Linked DNA regions of Oryzias latipes. The main gene of each other region encodes a partner of the protein of the gene in region 2 in a complex. Links are inferred from orthologs where the notes say so. Each region holds a gene or a part of one and is shown on either strand. Other genes may lie near its edges.

What was found. Proteins that work in one complex are often made in the same cells at the same time.
Region 1: virma (region 2) and mettl14 share a complex: the UniProt entries of both Homo sapiens proteins name them as parts of the WMM complex. The link is inferred for Oryzias latipes from reciprocal best matches to the Homo sapiens genes VIRMA and METTL14.

What each region holds. Positions count from the first base shown.
Region 1 is NC_019859.2:14,173,157-14,177,687, reverse strand, and holds the start of mettl14 (N6-adenosine-methyltransferase non-catalytic subunit), read right to left. Parts: upstream 2,929-4,531; 5' UTR 2,532-2,928; coding exon 2,466-2,531; intron 2,236-2,465; coding exon 2,147-2,235; intron 1,902-2,146; coding exon 1,814-1,901; intron 1-1,813. UniProt on the Homo sapiens protein: The METTL3-METTL14 heterodimer forms a N6-methyltransferase complex that methylates adenosine residues at the N(6) position of some mRNAs and regulates the circadian clock, differentiation of embryonic stem cells and cortical neurogenesis.
Region 2 is NC_019874.2:17,760,154-17,763,961, forward strand, and holds the end of virma (protein virilizer homolog), read right to left. Parts: coding exon 3,652-3,808; intron 3,567-3,651; coding exon 3,434-3,566; intron 3,166-3,433; coding exon 3,025-3,165; intron 2,923-3,024; coding exon 2,768-2,922; intron 2,570-2,767; coding exon 2,473-2,569; intron 2,256-2,472; coding exon 2,089-2,255; intron 2,007-2,088; coding exon 1,657-2,006; intron 1,543-1,656; coding exon 1,393-1,542; intron 1,312-1,392; coding exon 1,112-1,311; 3' UTR 908-1,111; downstream 1-907. Other genes in the region: RING finger protein 151-like, read left to right, coding at 376-753. UniProt on the Homo sapiens protein: Associated component of the WMM complex, a complex that mediates N6-methyladenosine (m6A) methylation of RNAs, a modification that plays a role in the efficiency of mRNA splicing and RNA processing.

The DNA.
Region 1 (4,531 bases), on a different chromosome or scaffold from region 2:
AGTTTTCATCATAGGTGCATTTCCACAGTGAGAGACAGAATCTGAAGAAACATTCAAACATTCAGAAATCACTTTGTACGATTTAAAAAAAAATGTATTTGTATATTACTGTGACAAATAAGTATTTGATCACTTGATTATCAGATTTTCTGACCAGCAAAGACCTGCTGTTCTGCTTTTAAATAGTCCAACTCCACTCTGCTCATAATTCTAAATTATTGGCACCTGTTTGAGGTGGTTAGCTTCCATAAAGGCACCTGTGCCCCCCACAATCAGTCAGAAGTCTAACTACCAACATGGGCAAAACCAAAGAGCTGTCAAAAGAAACGAGACAAAATTGTAGACCTTCACAAAGCTGGAAATGGCTATGGGGCAATTGCCAAGCAGCTTGGTGAGAAAAGAACAACTGTTGGAGCAATTGTCAGAAAATGGAAGAGGCTAATGATGACTGACAATGTCCCTCGGACTGAGGCCCCTTGCAAGATCTCACCTCATGGGGTATCGATGATGCTAAGGAAGGTGAAGAATCAGCCCAGGACTAAAGGGGAGGAGCTGGTCAATGACCCGAAGAGAGCTGGGACCACCGTTTCCAAGGCTACTATAAGTAATACATTAAAACGTCATGGTTTAAAATCATGTATCGCACGGAAGGTTCCCCTGCTGAAGTCAGCCCATGTCAAGGCCCGTCTGAAGTTTGCCAATGACCATCTTGATGAGCCAGAGGAGTCATGGGAAAAAGTCTTGTGGTCAGATGAGACCAAAATAAAACTTTATTGATCTTAACTCCATTCGGCGTGTTTGGAGGAGGAAGAAGGAGGAGCATCATCCCAAGAACACCATACCTACAGTGAAGCACGGGGGTGGAAGCATCATGCTCTGGGGGTGTTTTTCTGCAGAGGGGACAGGACGACTGCACTGTATTAAGGAGAGGATGAACGTGGCTCTGTATTGTGATATATTGGGCAAAAACCTCCTTACCTCAGTCAGAGCGTTGAAGATGGGTCGTGGCTGGGTCTTTCAGCAGGACAATGACCCGAAGCACACAGCCAAGAAAACCAAGGAGTGGCTCCGTAAGAAGCATATCAAGGTTCTGGAGTGGCTTAGCCAGTCTCCAGACCTAAATCCAATAGAGAATCTTTGGAGGGAGCTGAAACGCCGTGTGTCTCAGCAACAGCCCCGAACCCTGACAGATCTAGAGAAGATCTGTATGGAGGAGTGGGCCAAAATCCCTGCTGCAGTGTGTAGAAACCTAGTGAAGAACTACAAGAACCGTTTAACCTCTGTAATTGTTAACAAAGGCTTCTGTACCAAATATTAAAGTTGTTTAACTCAAGTGATCAAATACTTATTTGTCACAGTAATATACAAATAAATTGTTTAAAAAAATTGTACAACGTGATTTCTGAATATTTCCTCAGATTCTGTCTCTCACTGTGGAAATGCACCCATGATGAAGATTTTAGACCCCTCCATCTTTTCTTAGTGGGAGAACTTGATAAATCACAGGGTGATCAAATACTTATTGACCTCACTGTATATAATTCCACATGTGTTAATTCATAGTTGTGATGCCTTCAGTTTGAATCTACAATTTTCATAGTCATGACAATAAAGAAAACTCTTTGAATGAGAAGATCTGTCCAAACTTTTGGTCTGTACTGTATGTATGTATGTACACTTGCTATATATAAAAAAATGAATAAACAAAGTAAACATGACTGAATTAAGAACTATAGACCTAAGCTGGAGAGCAGACGTTCTATGCATGTGCAGGTTCGCAGTAGTGGTAACAGTCAGAAAACGTAGTGCTCACTTTCTGTTCCTCCACATCCTCCTCTGTGTCCTCTCCTTCTGTCGGCTGCTTCCTTTTGGAAGAGGGGAGCAGGCTGTCATATGAAGCCCTGCACAACACAAATATTTATGATTTGTTTCAACATCCCTGCATCAGCATGCACAAAGATCAATGCACAACTTTAAGGGATGGAGAAAGTGATTTTTATCCAGAACTACATCTGGATTCTAACAAACTAGTCACATAGCATAGTTTCTGACTGATTAGCCATTAGCTACAGACTATGTTTCTCTAACCGGCTCCATACAAATATTATTGGGGTTTTGTATTTTCCGTGGATGAATGTTGTGCTACCTGCAAGTTTCTCTGGTTTCCTCGATCTCCTTTAATTCATCCTTGCTGTGAAGGACAGCTCCAATGCTGTCAGCGCTTTCTGCCCCCAACTGTGGGAGTATATTGAAGAATCAGACTGTTTTTGAGGACAACAATGCAAGCAAGCAATGCCAAATGCGTAGCTAACTCATAATTAACCATTATGGAGATGTAAACACTATTAGAAGAGTGATTCAGAGTGGATACAAATATAGAAAGTGTGTTTCTTCGACTTAAACTATGATTATGTTAGCTGACTGTAGCTGTTTGCTATAACAACAGCGACTCTGTGTGTACTTGCCTGTTGGGCTAACAGTTGCCGCCTTAGTTTTTGCCTCTCGCGGATCTCTTGCAGCCTACTGTTCATATTTCCCCTCGTGGCAATTTGTCACAGAAGATTAAAAACCGCGTGGGTTTGTTTTTATTCGGAATAGATTAAGTATTTCATTTAGCATGGAAAGCAACATGCAAGCAGTAGCTAGCTGGCTCTCAGAGAGAAAGCCGCTAAAATATATTTAAAGGGTACGCTCGATATTAACCTCGTCACATCCGAACCAAGTTGAGTTTGTCTAAGTCGTAACGGACGTTGGTGAAATTTTATTTATTTTGTAATGTCGGTGCTCAATTGTAGCTAATTTACCTTAAACCTTTAATATAAATGAATTAAGCTGTAGCGTTGAGCGCATACAGACATTGAAATGCACGAGAACCGGAGCACGCCGGTGAATTTACGATTTAGCAAAATTGTAACTGGTCGCGTAATGATGGCGTCATCTTCAGAACGCATGTGTTTGACGTTTAGAGTTTGCACAACAAGCTGGTGCAGCATTCTATGATCCACTGTGATCTTTTTCCCCATCTGAGGCCTTTATATGGATCATATTGATTAGCTAAGCATGCCCCTATAATTAACCAGGGTATATCATTTTTTTAAATCAAAGATTAATATATAAGAACTTATAACCTTTTCTGAAAAACGTTTTTAATGGTGTTTGTGGAGGGGTGCAGCGAAGGGGGTAGGCTAGGAAATCCGATATGGCCACTCGTGGAATACCATTGGCTACCTTTGCCCCGAGATATATACATTACTGATGGATGTTCAAATCCATCAAGCTATGCTTTTTCCAAATGTGGACTAACACTCACATACTGGTTCAGGGTATTTTTAATTTACGATCAGGACCAGCTTTACCCTTTATTCTCATTTAATTTTTTCAGGGGTTGCTTCAGTAGGCTAAATCACCCACCTCTATTCTACCAAGACTAACACACCAACTACTCTCCATTATTTCTGTGGACCTCCTCTTGATCTGCCCTTAAGCCTCATTCCTGCCAGCTCTAACATCAGCATCCTTGAAAGGATGCTGAATACATCTACACATTCACAATCTGGCTTCCCTGCATTTATCTCCAAATGATCCTACATGAGTTGTTCCTTTGATGGATTTATCCACGATCATCCATCTTCATCACTCCTAAAGAGAACCTCAACATCTTCATCCCTAACACATCCAGCTCTCTTGACTTTCTCAGTGCCCCTAACTGTAGAATACATTGCCATTTCCATTCAATTTTCAATTAAACACAATATTTGTAATCAGAACAGTCAACCAATGAAAGATCTTTTTAAGGGTAAGCCTATATGAAATAAATATTTATAAATTGGAAAATAAAAATCAATAACGTGATTTTTGAATTGACATACAAAATATTAATTGATCATTCAGAATTACAGTAGTAATATATTTCAACTTCAAAATATGTTTTTTGTTGTTGTTGAAAGCTTGGATTATTGAGCATTTTGGATGTTTCAAATTCATACATTTTTTTTAAATTAGTGATGGAACATTTTCATTCTAAAAAACGATTTTAATTGCCACTGATACCCAATTTCTGTAAAATCTGCAGCCAAAATGGAGAAAAAAAAGGAGAAATAGCTATAAAAAGACTCACTTTGTGTGTACAATTTAATTAAATTTATTGAAAAACTTCAACTGAGCATTAGAATTTTTAGAACCTGTGCATTTACCATTTTAACCACCTAGTCTTTATCAAGATTTTCTAAGACAATGCAACCCAGTTTAGCCATCCCAGTAAAAAAAATACAAATAAATAATAATAATGATAAATGAATGGGAAAAATAGGTCCGGCACGTGTCACTGTCATTGTGGGGCTTGGAGTTAATCACTGTGGATCCAGCTCCTGCAAATGAACCCAAAAACTACTGGAATTTAAACTCTTGGATGTGTCCTGCAGCTCAACTGTGATCCACGTGTGACGATAAACAAATACATTTATAAAAATGTGGTTAACTTGCATTTCATGCCAAAGCTGATTATGCATTCCTGCACAAATGCAAAATGTTA
Region 2 (3,808 bases):
AACTCCTTTTTCCTTTTTCTTATAAGCCACAATTATACACATTTAAACTCTTTAGGATTTTTTTTATTAGAATCCAAAGTGCTGTTATTGCTCTCATCACTTAAAGAAAAAAACAGCCTTCAAAATCTGAATTTCTTAAGAAATTACGTAAGCACGACACAACAAATATTACTTTTATAATATAATTCCTAATGTTTTTTTGGATGACAAAATGGAAAACAAATTTTTAAGATGCGTCATATAAATGCATTTAATGCAAATCTCTTACTTGAGGAGTGTGTCCTTTGTCATTTTAGAATCTGTAATACATTTTTGGGGTTTAAGTTCCTCTTTTAAGTGTTTGAATCCCTGATGTGAACAGTTTTTCTTCTGCAGGGTCAGATATCCCGTGTGATGTGTGACATGCACGCTGTGTTGGGAGCAGAGCGCCTGAGGAGGCAGGAGTTAGCAGAGGCAGAGCTTGAGAAGAGGGAACTGTTGGAGCTTCTCCGAGACCTGCAGTTCACGAAGAATCAACAATCGGCAGAGCCGTCAGTCAAGAGCCAGCTCCAGGAAGATGAGCAGACACCCTGCAGGGACCGGACTCGCCAGCCGGGAGAGACTCCTTTACATGCCTCCAGTCTGTCCCTGGCCTCACCTCCCAACTGCGCCGGCCACTCCTCACCTCAGCTGGGGGACGGGCTGCGAAAAGGCCCCCGCAGTTTGACTCTCCAATGCATCAAAAGGAAAAGTCGGGAGGTGACGGTCATCTGAATACATATATAAGAATTAAGGCAATTTTGTATGTTGTAAAATAAATTAGTTAAAAAATAAAGTTGTGTTTTTATGAAGTCTTTGAATCATGAGCATTTCTGTCTTCAGAAGCATCGACCCATCAAACAGGCTTTAAAAAATTCACCACCACCAATCCCATGATTTGGTGTTTTCTTTAAAACACACAAAGAGTTACAACTGCCTTTATTCTCTAAACACGCCTCATGATAACAAAACATAAAACATCAATAGTCTGTATTACAACATCACGTAAGCATGTTTCCATGGAGATGGCAGACATCCCATCTGGTTGGTCCATTTCCAGTCAGAAGAAGCTGAAGTTTTCAACCAGGTGAGTTCACCTGGTGAAGGATCGCACATGCCTGCCCCTCCCACCTCCGCTTCCTCCCCCACCACTGAATTTGCTCCCCTGAGATCCTCTTCCACCTCCTCCAACTCCACCAGCGTTCCCAGCACCTCCTCCCCCGCTAAGCCAGGACAATCCGGCGCCTCCTCTGCCCCGTGGAGCTCGATCACGAATAGCCAGACGATAAGCACCTTAAAAAATGTTTTTAAAAGAGTTTTAACTTTAGTACTGCAGGTTAAAAGCAATGATGGAAACATGTTAGCTCTACATACTTGCAGGGGGTTGTCGGGAAGGCAAAGGTCCTCGGGCGAAGTTGCTCTGCCCTCCGCGGGGTTCACTGTAGGTTCCTCTGTGGGTGATTGTTGGAACCTGACCACTCCACGAGGAACCACGGCCTCCTTCCCTCCGAGTGTAGTTACCTACTGAAACCCAAAGAAGTCAATCATCATCCTCTACAGGCCAACCATCAAAAAAAAAAATGAAACCTTTGCACATCACCCATGTGACCCGTTTCACTAAGGATTGTGGGTATTTACCTGATAGCAGAACAGCTTTTGGCTGTGGTGGAGTAAAAAAGCGCGTCTGGTTGTGGAAGGTGGCTCTGCCTCTATTCCCAGTGAACAGACCTCTGGTGGGAGGCTTGGGGAGGCTCTTGGGGAGACGTTTGTTGGGTAGAAGTCCGAGCGGGGTGGTAATGTCTTTAAACTCCGCTGCAACAAAGTCGTCCACATGCATGCTGGGAGGACGGGATGTATTTTGTTTCCTTAGACGGAAAATATCATGGGGCCGTGACATGTTTTGTCCAAACCCTCCCCGACCCCCACGACCACGAGGGGCAGGCATGATGTGAGCCCTTTTGGCAGGTTCAACATAGTCGGATTTACCACTGAGAAACAAGCAAAACAAAATATAAATTTAAATACAAGATACTCGGTCATATGAAAATTCATGTCAGGCTCAAGTTGTACCTCGATGTGATGAAGGTCTCGTGTTTGTGTTTGCCAAGTCGGAAGCCTTTCGTAGCCTTAGTGTGACCCGGGGAAGACGGCTCAGACAGGAAGGAGCGCTCCAACTCAGCTTTCAGGTCGAGTTCTGGACAACATTCCTGTGCCAAAGCAACCAGGTCCACTTTGACCTGCAACACAGGAAAAAGAAGCACAAGAATGTGTGAAAGTTCTTTCGTCTGCAAGATGAAAAAAGGAAAATCTTTATTTATTTTTAGAAAAAATAATAAATTGTGAGGTTTATTTTACGTGTTTAAAAGCAAAGATATGTTACTCCTTCAAAGGTGACCGTAATTATGACAGAAAAGAGAGCATGTCTGAAGATTGCAGACAGAGAGACAAACATACCATGTCAAGATCAGTTTCTATGTCATCTGTTTGGAAAGGAGAAAACCACAGAGCCTTCAGCTGCTCATCCAGTGCCTCAGACAGAATGAACACTGTCCTGCAGATGGAAATAGGAAGTTCTTAACAATCAATTGTGTCTATTGTATTGTAATAATGTGCATTTATGCAACTTTTTGTCATTATAAGCTAATAGTTTTCCTAAAAATGGCAAAATTATTTAGAAAAAAAATTAAGAAAACAACTGGTAAAAATAAAAAACTGATATCTTTGTAATTAAGGGCCATTTTATGCAAACCTGTGGTTAAACTGAGCTGCAAGTGTCTCAGGAGGAGGCAGAATGGGCTCAGTTTCAACCACTGGAGCTGTGTCTGAAGCCACCTCCAGCGTCTGCCTCAGAACAATCACATTTTCCAACATGGTTTCCATGGAATCGTCTTCTTTACAAAGTTTCTATGGGCACAAACACACCGTTAAAAACCAAAACGCAATAAACATTTATAAAAATAAAATTTCAAAAAAAGTTACAAAAATTGAGATTGGAAATATATTTACAGTTAATAATTTCTCCAAAGAAGATATTGGATGAGACTCAGACTCCTCCCACTGCAGCAGAGCTTTCATCTCAGAAGGCGACATCAGTCGTGGATGAACAAAAACAGGCTCCTCGCTGGAGCCCTGACCCTCCTCAACACACTGTTTCCAAAGAAAAAAATATTTTAGAATCTAAAACAAAACATGCCACGTAAAAAGTAAATAGTTACTGAAAAAAGGTGTTATCACTTCTTTCTCTGACAACAAATCTTTAGCTACATTCACAGTGTCTTCTGAAACATGTGTCTATGCAACCACTTCCAATGAAAGGTCTATCTTAATGCACGTAAATGCGTGTTTCAGGCTTGTGCAGGATGTTTATCTTATTAAAAAAACTTCAAAATAAAGCAGATTTAAAAGATGCACCTACCATTGTTTCTGTGTTGACAATCTGCCTGAGAAAGTCAAGCAGAGCAGAAAGCAAATCTGCTGAATCCTTGCTGAAGCTTGAAATCAGTCTTTTGAGCAGTGAGAACACCTCACTACTATGTTTCTTCAAAGCACTAAAGGAAAAAAAAGGTAGATATGATGTTAAGTAAAAGCAGATATTCAACCTGAAATAAAAATAACGGAAAAATGTGAAATTACACTTTGAGGTGGTAGATTCCATAGTTATGCTCAGTGAGGAAAGTTAGAGTCCTGATGCAGGTGAGGAGGAGCGGGACGCTGCTCTCTTTATTGCCTAAAACCTCCAACAAGGAAGTGCACACTGATGACATCATCTCTCGCCCGGGCAGTGCATTGG